Arabidopsis thaliana: one gene and its partner. The protein of the gene in region 1 interacts with the protein of each later gene in a pairwise test. Each region holds a gene or a part of one and is shown on either strand. Other genes may lie near its edges.

Region 1 (6,610 bases):
TGGTGAACGACAATTGTAGAGCGATAACCTCATTTTTTTTAGGTAAATTTGTTTTTTAATCCATCATATCAATTCTTTCAAAGAAAAAATGAACCAACCATTTGTATAACGTGCGTTCAACCTGTTACCTCTACATGCAGCATAAAATTTGTGATAGTGACGAATAACGTTGATTACTCTTTGTACTTCCTTGATTTTAGTGAATGTAATGTTGCTCTATCGAGGTGGAGCCTCGTAACATTGGTAAGGCTACAAAAATGAACATCGCTCTCTCTCTTCTTTAAGCATTCCTAAATCGTGTTTTTGTTTTTCTTTTTGGCAGCATCTTTTATTTTGTTTAAACGCCTAAAACTGCCTTTGATCTTTTTTCCTTTTTATTGATAGAATGAGATAGGACAACAAATACCTTTTTTGCCGGGAAAATTCAAAGGTTGTTGATGATTCCTTGTGTCCGCAACTAGAAAGAGAAAAGTCTGTCGTATCAAATTAGATATTGACAAAAATGTCAAAATATATGAAGAAGTGTGAGGGGAAACCGTTGATTGAACGTAAGACATTTGAAAAATGGATATGTAGTAGTTTCTAGATTTGCTTACAAGGAATGTTGAGTTGTATCATTTTCTCTAACGCAATAGCTAACGTGCACGACTTTTTTTTTTTTATGTAAACTTCAAACAAACCACGATCAACGCGTTTACTATTTATTGCATGGAAACTATAGCAAGTGTGACAACTCATATCAATTTGTGATGAATTGATTAACTACGTAGGTAGTATAATATTTGTAAGTTGGTTATTCACGTAAGAAATATTGTATTTTACTCTTATCCAGATTATTTAAGAACTCGTTTTTCAATATAATGTTTGACATTTTATACTCGAGTTAATAAACAAATTAGCTTTACATTGACAAAATTCTGTTGTATATTATTTATAATTAATCTTGACTATGGGTAATTAAATAATATTTTTTTGGAAAAAAATACATTGGATTTTCTCAAATGATCACACTTCTATTAAAACCAAAATAGTACGTATACGCTCTAGACGATTCTAAATAGATGATTAATTTGGCTCGATTCATTAATTCAAAAAATAATAATATTTAGTGTTTTAAATTAGAATTAAAATATTAAATAATTATCGGATATTTCAGTGTTTTAAATTATTGAGGATGATTTTTGTTTAGTAATGACGTCAGATTGTCTAAGGAATAGTTTGGGAAAAAAATCTGAATCAAATATGACTAACAAATGGTTATTGGTTATTGAACTGGACCATAACAAAAAGACACACACACAAAAAAAAAAACTTTTTTTATCTGGTTTGCTCCATGGATAAGAATATAGTAGCTAGGATATCCTGATCTTTAGATAACGGTAGAACATGTGGCATGTGTTTATTGTTTATTTTTATTTTATTTTGAGAACAAAATAGTTACATTGTTTGGTTATATATAAAAAAAAAACAGACCAAAAAGACAAAACCAAAGCTTAAACAAAAAAAGAAAAGAAAAACTTAATTAGACCGGTTAACACTAAACTGGTTTATGTAAAACGGATTCATAAATGTATCTAGACATTCACTTACATAAAATTCATCACAAAATTTCACCCAATTACGGTTTTGATTCGGTATAGGGACCACCTTCAAAATTACCCAATAAATAAAGAGTGGATAACAACTAGCATAAAATAATCAAAGCATCCACTAAGACACAAAACACAATTTCATAAAGATGATGATGAATCACATAACTTTAAATAAATATTCTTTCAAAAAGGCAAAACTTTTAAATAAATATCATTCGCCTGTCGGCCAAGAAAAAAAAAAAGTAAACAAAAATAAATATCATACGTATTGACAACAAAAAATTCATACGCCAGTCCAATTACAAATTACACAATATTTAAAAATTTAAATAAGGAAAACAGAAGAAGATACAATTTCAAATTAAAAAACAAAATACGTGTATATAAAATTGAATAAAACCCCAACAGAAACGTGACACAAAAGAAAAGATTGGGGAAGCTGACCTCTGCCTTTCCTCCTCCATTAATCAAGGAATATAAATCAGCTTTAAACTCAGTCCTCTTATGGAAGACAAAAAAGCAAATATTTATTCGTAAATATAACTTCAGAACCCTTTCAACAAAACTCTCTCTGTTCTTTCTCCGTGGAGAAGTTAAAGATGACGATGTCGGAGAACTCAAGAAACTTGGAAGCTGGTTTGCTACTGAGGAAGAACCAAAACGACATCAACGAATGTCGTATCACTGCTGTTGTACTTTTCAGTACTTTCGTTTCTGTTTGTGGCTCTTTCTGCTTCGGTTGTGCGGTTAGTCATCAAATCACTCATCTTTTTTTTAAAACAATTTCTCTGTTTGTTTTGCTCTGTGATTTGAAAGTTTGGGGTTGGATTTTACAGGCAGGTTATTCATCAGTTGCTCAAACAGGGATCATAAATGATTTAGGTCTCTCTGTTGCACAAGTAAGAAGCAACCCTCTCTCTTTTCTTGAATCTTTACTCAAAAAGTGCTAGTTTTGCTTAAATTACTCTGTTTTTTTGTTTTTGTTTACTACTTCAGTACTCCATGTTTGGTTCAATCATGACTTTTGGAGGAATGATTGGTGCCATCTTCAGCGGGAAAGTTGCAGATCTCATGGGTCGAAAAGGGGTAAATTTCCTGACAATTTGAAATTCATACAAACATATGTTTCAAGATCATGTACTGATGAATTTTTCTCTTAAACAGACTATGTGGTTTGCTCAAATTTTCTGCATCTTCGGTTGGGTTGCAGTAGCATTAGCAAAAGACTCCATGTGGCTTGATATTGGAAGACTATCCACAGGATTTGCAGTTGGTTTATTAAGCTATGTGGTAATAATTCTTTTACTTTCTTTTTTTCCATTTATTTTGTGTATTATATACTTATTTATTTTTACTGACTTTGTGTTAACTCTGTTGCCTTCAGATACCAGTTTACATTGCAGAAATAACACCAAAACATGTTCGAGGAGCGTTTGTATTTGCTAATCAGGTAAACTAAAGAATAATTAGAGAATAAATTCTTATAACCATAAAATAAAAAAGATATATATTATACTAATGTTCTTAAAATTTGTTCAAATGTCGTTACAGCTGATGCAGAGTTGTGGATTGTCTTTATTCTACGTCATTGGAAATTTTGTTCATTGGCGTAACTTGGCCTTAATCGGTAAGCTTCTTCCTAATCCTTTTTTTCTTTCTAGCAGGTTAGTTATGAAATTTTCATCAAGAAGTGATTTAAGTTTATCGGTTTCTGTCTCTCAGGTCTCATTCCATGTGCGTTGCAAGTTGTGACTTTGTTCTTTATTCCAGAGTCCCCTAGACTACTGGTACGTTTAGCCCTTTTTAAGTTTTGATCTTTTTTAAAAAAAGTGTGAAGTAAAACTCAATATGGTTTACAATGGTGTATAGGGAAAATGGGGACATGAAAAAGAATGTAGAGCTTCATTGCAAAGTCTTCGCGGAGATGATGCAGATATCTCTGAAGAAGCCAACACTATCAAAGTATTGCAACTTTTCACACATCTCTCTGTTTTTAAATTGTGTTGTTTTCAATAAAACATGACTAATGAACAAATCATTGGAAATGTCAACTATAGGAAACCATGATCTTGTTTGATGAAGGACCAAAATCGCGGGTTATGGATTTGTTTCAGAGAAGATATGCTCCATCTGTTGTTGTAAGTTTATTCTCAAACGTTTTGTGACAAAAAAAGTTGATTTTCTCTTGTACCGTTATACTTACTCTCTGAAGTTTGTGACATTTTGTTCAGATTGGTGTGGGACTAATGCTTCTACAACAACTCTCTGGAAGCTCAGGACTTATGTACTATGTCGGTAGCGTATTTGATAAAGGAGGTAAATAGATAAACAAACTCTGTTTCGCATGTTACGATAATTTACTGTCTTCATTTGGGAGTAACAAATATTTTCTTACTAATGGCAGGGTTTCCAAGCAGCATTGGCTCAATGATTCTTGCAGTGATCATGGTATGTCTTTGTACGTAGTTTCATTTATTCGTGAAAAATCTTGCCAAGAAGTACACTTATGCTCATGTGTTCTGCTTTTGTAGATACCAAAAGCTCTATTGGGTCTGATTTTGGTTGAGAAAATGGGACGAAGACCACTTCTATTGGTAAGATTTTGCTATCTGATCTTTTGGTCAAATATCAAATGAAGCAACAAAATTTAGCATATATCTTTTAACAGATGAATGATCTTTATTTACAGGCCTCTACCGGTGGAATGTGCTTTTTCAGCTTGCTCCTCAGTTTTTCCTTCTGCTTTCGGGTAATTAACATTAACGATTCGCTTTCTAACCAAAGATATATACAAACTTTTTTTGCTGCTGTTTATTGGAGATTCTTACCAGTTATACTAAAATTTTTCTACTTTTGTTCTTGGACAGTCATATGGCATGCTTGATGAGCTCACTCCGATTTTCACATGTATCGGTGTAGTGGTACGTTTAAAGTCATTTCTTAGACATAATAAACAAGCAACTTAAAGTATAGCTCTTGTATAACTTGATCTGAATTTGACATCATATTACAGGGTTTCATCTCTTCATTTGCCGTAGGCATGGGAGGCTTACCATGGATCATCATGTCTGAGGTAAACAAACATGAACATTAACATTAACTCCTCAAAAACCGACATATATATATTTTTTCCAGCTCTAAAAAATGTTACATTTTTTATTTTGCAGATATTCCCAATGAATGTTAAAGTTTCTGCTGGGACTCTGGTTACCTTAGCCAACTGGTCCTTTGGTTGGATTGTTGCTTTCGCCTACAACTTCATGCTAGAGTGGAACGCATCAGGTATAAATACATACTACTATATAATATACTATAGAGTCATTAAACTCTCAAAAAAAAATTAGATCTTTAATCTGATTTAATTTTTGAAATATATTAATCTGTTTCAGGAACGTTCTTGATCTTCTTTACTATATGTGGTGCGGGTATAGTCTTTATTTATGCGATGGTACCCGAAACTAAAGGAAGAACATTGGAAGATATACAAGCTTCTCTTACAGATTTTCTACAATGAGATCAAGTTTGACTTGTTTAAAGTTATTCATTTTTTCTTAGATTACAATTGGGGGGAGGTTTATAGTTTTTTGTTGTAATTGTTACCTCATTTGATGTGCAATTGAGAAAGAGATCACTTGAACATAAGGTTTAGATATCTCTCTGTCTCAGTAAATTAGCCCAATGTATGTATAGTATAGTCCCAGTTTTACACCCAAAAAAAAGAAATATAAAATTGAACTTTAAGGTATTGGCTTTTTGCTTTCATTGTATATTTAACATTTTTTTTTTTTACTTTTACTAGTTGCTAATGCTATTAATCAATCTACCAGTTCTCTGAAACCTGTAGACCCACAGTTTCTACTTTCGGACTTATTTGTTCTGTATGTGTTCCACATTTCCGGCCTCATTCCTAAAAGTTGAATTGATTTGTGAGATATTTCCTTTTCAAAAATCATTGTTCTTTTTTATATTTTCTCGATAGCATAGGGTTTTCAGATACGGATAGTGATAGGGCAACAAATAAAACTAGGTTAATTCTTATCCTCTCTAAAAGTTAGTAAAGAATAAAGACAATTTATTTCCTTTTAAGGTTCCGAAAATGAGGTTTTCTAATTCTCTCCCTAGACGTAATTAAGCTATCGCTGTGCCAACCAGATTTGTGGTAGGTTACGTGCATCTGTTGATCTATTTGCATACATCATAAAGATCAATCCTTTAATTGTTTAACCACCTTTCTGATATTTCAATTATCTTGACTTTTTTTTTCTTTGTTCGTTAAAACTATTGAATTTTTAGTCATTTAGTAAATATATTGCAAGTGCTATCCATAAAGATGTTCTTTAAATCTGATTGCGAACTAAAATATCTTAGTTGACAACTTGCACGTATCAGACATGATTTGTGGAATCACTTTAGTATTTTTCATTAATCAGAAAGGAACAAAGAGATCATGTGGAAATGCTCTCATGATTTACGTTTTCTCTTTTTTTTTTTTTTTTTTTTCCTTACTTTCGTCGATTTACTTCTATTTTAAAATTGGAAAGTGATTCTAGAAATCGCTAATCGACTACACAATGTCGGACGGTCCTAATCGTTGATTGGTCTATGCTTCTTTTCATATGTAAATATTTCGTGGATGATAAAAATAAGGGATTAAGTAAAAACCTTAACTCCATTATTTTATTTTTCTTACATTCCACTATGTTACTTACGTTCCATTTTTAGGAGAAGTTTGAAGAATAACCCAAGTTAAATGCGATTTCATACGAACTAACAAAACTAGTTCATTGAGATAAAATTCAATTGATGATGAAAATCAAACTAAAAAAAACGAAGCTAAGACTGAAGCATAAAAGAGGGTTTTTCAATGTAAATATAATTATTTTTGTTTGTAATTGTCTACAATATGAACTATACAAATTTTAATTAGAGTAAGTGAAAAATAAATAAATTAGAGTAAGTGATACATCAAGGATATTAAGTTATTAACACGATGACAAAAAAAAAAAAAAAAAAGTTAT
Region 2 (5,340 bases), on another chromosome or scaffold:
GGTTACATAATTTATTCTTTTATATGTCTTCTTCTTTTTCTTCGTAGAATTTGTTACTCCCTAAACATTTATTGGTCTATTTAATCCAAGGCTGGCTTTTGAAAGTAATTTTTTTTTCTCCACCGATATACATCTTGGTTTGTTGGATGTGCTATTCCTTCTTCACGCATCTCATATGATAGTACTGTGATCGTGGATATCAAATTTACCAGATTTGCAAAATGATATGATATTCTCATCATATTCAAAGTTAAAAGTTTGGGTATAGAAGTTCAAATTTGGTTTCTAAATCATTATAGTGTCATTCAGTTGTGTTAAAAATCTAAATGTAGACAATAATTGAAGGGAGAGTATAAAGAGGAAGTGAGGTGATGGAGAATGAAGGACATTAGAAGCTAATGTTATATAAAAGCAAGTTGGGACAGTTGAGGAAAATAGCTTTGATTTTAGTGGCAAATTCATAACTAATTCTCCTTTCTTCATGTTTCACCTTATGGGCCTTTTTTGTTCCTTGCCACCACACCATGAAGTTTGTTACATTTTTAATAGTCTATAATGCAAAATATCATATTCTTATAATAAGTTATAACCAAGTGGACACAATTTTGTTATTCAGATTTGAACTCTAATTTGGTATTTTGTCACCTCATGTGAATTTAACACCCCAAAGAAAAACATACACTGAAACGGGTCGGGTTAGTGGAAGAAAAGAGAGTAAACGAAGAAGACGACAAAGAGACCGGGTCATTCACGGCGTCGGCTGTCACAAACGACGACCTTGACGGAGACATTAGTATTTTCTCGCCGTCGTCAAAGTTTCACAACTCTTTCCGTTACGTTACTTACACGCGCCTTAAACGTCACGCGCCTATGGAGGACCACTAAACATGGTGTTTAATAATTATTTTTATTTTCTTGTTGCATAAGAATTTCCCGGCAACGAAACCAACTTCTATCTTGTCCTTTAATTGCTTAACCAGATTCATATATATTACACTCGAACCACTTGAAAAGGATAGTTTTATGTTTACACATTCAATTTCTAAAGTCATTCTCATGACAACAAATCACTCCCATGATATTTTTTTTGAAATGACATGAGGTTTAATACTAATAAAGTATATTTTTACAATCAAATCAAATCAACAACATTACATTTTAAAAAAAATCCAATATATATCTCACAACATAAATTTGAAAATCCAACAATCAAATGTTTCCTCCTAGAATAATGAATTAGAAGAGTGTACAATGAAACGAATCTCGTTAGTGCCAATAAATCAAAACTAGAAGACAAGATTTTCTTCTATATCCAAAGAATCCAATAAAAACGGTGTATTACCATCATCTTCATCACCATCACATGATCTAGTCATGAGTTCTTTTGCTCTATGAACCTCAACTTCCCAATCAGTCCTAGCCAACACGACCAGCATCGAAATCAGGCACGAGCCTTGTGCTGCAAATAGACCGAGCCATAGTCCTTTGAAGTCAAACCCGCTAAAGAAACTTAACCATACAGCCACTGGCATTCCCACAAAGTAGAAACAACACAAGTTTATGTTTGCTCCTAACTTAGGTCTCGCACTTCCTCTCAACACTCCACACAATGTGGTCTGAGGACAGTTTCCTAGCTCGCAAAGCCCGATGATCGGTAAAACCATTGAAGTCAACTTCACAATCTCTTCCTCATCTGTGAACAATCTTGCCCAGCAATTCCTCACCATCAAAGCGAAAAACATTGCCAATAAACCTAAACCAAGGCTTAAACTAAGTCCGGTTCTCGCAGCTATCCTCGCTTTATCAGGCTGATTCGCACCTAATTCATTCCCGACACGTGTCGATACGCTGATACTCAGAGAGGAAGGGAAAATGTAGATCAAAGCGGTGGTTTGGATCAAGATTCCCATAGATGCCACGGTTGCTTGCGGGTTAAGTAACAATCCACATAGAAGAATCATGATTTCATACCACCACCACTCTAAACAAACCGAGACGCAGCTAGGGATGGCTAGTTTCATTAGAGATCTCCATCCTTTAAAGCAATCCATTGAGAATCCTCCCCAAGTCTTCTGGTAAACACCGGAAAACACTATGTAGATGATTAGAAACCCTAGGAGATTGACATTAGTCCAGATTGCTCCCAAGGCGACTCCTTTAAGGCCGAGACCGAGAGAAGAAACGAGAAGGTAGTTAATCGGAATGTGGAGTAATACTGCGAAGAAAGCAGAGTAGGTTAGAGGAAGAGTGATCGATTGAGATCGGAGGTAGATACGGATAGGATGTAAAAAAGATTGGAGGATCAGATCAGGGAGAGAGAAGAGGATAAAGATCTCAGCTTGGTTTGAGATTTCTTCGTCTTGTCCGAAGAAGAGAAGGATCTTCTTGATGTTGAGCCAGAGGATAGATATGGGAAGAGAACAGAGGAGAAGCAAAAGTGTGGTTCTTTGCAAAGCAAGGCCTAAAAGTTTGAATCTTTTGGCGCCAAAGGCTTGAACGCAGATGGGTTCCATGCCGATAGAGAGACCGGAGAGGAGAGAGTAACCCGTGATGTTAGCGAAGCCGAGGGCGAGTGAGCCACCGGAAAGAGCAGAGAGATCGTTGAGACGGCCGAGGAAGAGCATTGAGATCATTGAGCGAGAGTAGAGAAGTAAACCGGTTAAGATCAGTGGGAGAGATATTTTGGCGATTGATTTGGCTTCTTGGATCGAAGAGGAAAGGTGGGTCGGGTTCGGATTCGGATCTTGTCGGTGATCTGTTTGGTTCTTGATGATCATCAACAAAGGAGCTGCCATGATTACAGGTTTGAGAGAGAAGAGAGAGACAGAGACAGAGAAAGGAGATGATGAAGAAGGTGTTGTTGATGTGTGAAAGGTGTGTTATAAGTTTGAGATTAAGTCACTAGTTAAGGTTAATAGTGATTAAGGCCCTTAAGGGAACAAGAGAAGTTTTTTGACTCAGAAATTAGTCTTAATTATAACAGAACAATTTTGGCGGTTTATTTGACCGGCCATTATGTCATTTGTTACGACTCCGTCTTAATTCAGAGACACTATTTTATTCTATTTTCATTTGTGGAAAACCAATAAAAAAAGTTTAAAGAAAATATGATTTTTGGATGTCTATTTGGAATCATTTTACTTTCTTCATGTTGATTTGGATTTTTTATATATATAATAGTATTGTTTTTCTTTGGATGTTTATGCAACTCTTTTCTTTTAATCATGGTTACGTTTATTAGGATTTTTGTTTCCATTTGGAGATAAGTTTCCAAGAAAATATTGATATTTGGATGTTTATTAAGAATTTTTTTTATTCACGATTAATTTATTGTCTGTATTTCGTTTAATTTATAGTTAGATACTTAGATACATACATACAATACAACTCAGCATAGAAAGAGTTGAAACTTGAGACGTTTTTGGGATTTCTATTCTTTAAATAATAAACCAGTGTAACAAATTGACTCATGTCGTTTCTTCCTCACTTTTAATAGTATTGAATTTGACCATTATGGGTAATTTTCATGTGCCAAAAAAAAAAAACGAAATGGATTCTTTACAAAATCAAATAAGTAACTGCTCGAAGTAGTAGTAAAGTAGTAAGCTAGTAGGGATGGACACAGATCATATACCAGAAAATTAAGCAGCTATACAGAGAGGTTGGTATCAAGTTGTTACGAAATACTAAGATTTAAAATTTTATGGACCATTTTATATAAAACTTGGGACGATGTTGATGCTTGCAATAAAGTGAGAAGAATTATATAGAATATTATACCTACTTAATGCTTATTTCTAAACTTCAAAACAATTTATTGGACCACTCTATTGATCATATAATCGAGGGGAAAATTATAGTTTGGCAAAAAAAAAGGCTTGCTTTCATAATTAGTTTCAAGAGAACTTAACAGAAAATAATAATTAGTTTAAAGAGAATATTTTTTATTAGTGTTTATTAATTTTGGGATAAGAATTTATTGTTTGTGCATAGATATAATACGATGTCACATGCTTCACCTCTATAGAATGTGGACCATTAATATAGCTTAAGGATGATGGGGAACAAAAATAACATTATCTTATCACGAGCTATGTCGATCGTTTATTATATTATAACAAAAAAAAAAATTAACAACTGTAAATAGAAAAAAATATATATATATAAACTATATGAAATAAAAATAAATACAAATGTAAATATAGAAGTAACAAACAAATATAAATAACATGATAAAAAAATTATAATTTACGTATTTCAGAGATTTTATATTTATATTTTTAGAAATGATTAGGGTTTCCAAGTCAAATTTTCGATCAATTTTCTAAGTTACAACTTACTGTTACTTTGTATATGAACGAAAGAGAATTGATTTCCTTTTGGACTAAAATTGTTGTCAAGTGTTTATTATGTTTTGATTATGTTTTATTTATGTGAAATTTCAGAGTATTTTTTCATTGTATCTTGAATATCAAATATCATTAACAAATTATGTGAAAATTAATTTACGTCGACTTAAAATTAGGTTAAGGTAATCTTGACAAGGAAAAAGGGCAAGGTTATCGAGGAATCTAATAGTGTTTTGGTTAAAATTAACAAATTTTTTTCATTAACACAATTGTGTTCCTAATTCTCATCACACTGTCTATAACGTATTTTCCTATAATCAGTATTACCGCATATACTTAATGGTTGTTCATCCATATGCATTCTAGAAACAATATCTTCATATGATCAAAGTAATTAAACAACAATATCTTGTGAGACAAAAGATGTCATATAGTCAAAAATGTTCAAAAATCTATAATATCCTTGGCATAGAATGAATCAACCCCATAAAGATCCTAAGTAATAGGAGGAATCCTAATAGTCTAATTTATTCATTCTCATGCATGTAACTTTAACTAAACAAACCTTTGTGTCCTGTCGCTTGATAACTTCTGTTTATATGAGATTAACCATTATCCGATAAGCTAAGAGTAAATAAAGTACTCTATACTATTCAATAGCTTAATTTAATACACTTAACGTCTATATATGTATATAGAACCTGTCGTGGGATCTAAGACAGTAAGACATCAATCATCGTATTATCTTATAAAAAAATTACTTAAATGCTCGTGCTTCATTTGGTATATCTTTTAAGTCTTAAGTTTGCAAACATTGAAACAATCATCTGTGTGGATGCTATTTGGTTTGGAATATATTTAACATAAACCCAAAAAAGGCTTACATGCCTTTTGAATCATTTGATAGGATTCTAATGACTTTCTTTAGTCTTAAGCCGAGTTCTTAAGGGCAAAAATTCGTTTATAGATTATTGTCTTGAGAACAAAAAAA

What was found. The genes of interacting proteins can lie anywhere in the genome.
Region 2: the proteins of ESL1 (region 1) and AT4G23030 interact in a protein complementation assay, tested with the Arabidopsis thaliana proteins (one large-scale study listed by BioGRID).

The regions. Positions count from the first base shown.
Region 1 is NC_003070.9:2,865,255-2,871,864, forward strand, and holds ESL1 (ERD (early response to dehydration) six-like 1), read left to right. Parts: upstream 1-2,004; 5' UTR 2,005-2,191; coding exon 2,192-2,338; intron 2,339-2,428; coding exon 2,429-2,491; intron 2,492-2,588; coding exon 2,589-2,678; intron 2,679-2,756; coding exon 2,757-2,882; intron 2,883-2,976; coding exon 2,977-3,042; intron 3,043-3,143; coding exon 3,144-3,219; intron 3,220-3,314; coding exon 3,315-3,379; intron 3,380-3,461; coding exon 3,462-3,554; intron 3,555-3,649; coding exon 3,650-3,730; intron 3,731-3,823; coding exon 3,824-3,908; intron 3,909-3,996; coding exon 3,997-4,040; intron 4,041-4,123; coding exon 4,124-4,186; intron 4,187-4,260; coding exon 4,261-4,341; intron 4,342-4,459; coding exon 4,460-4,513; intron 4,514-4,605; coding exon 4,606-4,665; intron 4,666-4,759; coding exon 4,760-4,874; coding exon of another isoform or gene 4,875-4,936; exon of another isoform or gene 4,937-4,976; intron 4,977-4,981; coding exon 4,982-5,106; 3' UTR 5,107-5,402; downstream 5,403-6,610. UniProt on the Arabidopsis thaliana protein: Sugar transporter. Transports monosaccharides across the vacuolar membrane independently from a proton gradient.
Region 2 is NC_003075.7:12,070,312-12,075,651, reverse strand, and holds AT4G23030 (MATE efflux family protein), read right to left. Parts: upstream 2,893-5,340; 5' UTR 2,796-2,892; coding exon 1,287-2,795; 3' UTR 1,072-1,286; downstream 1-1,071.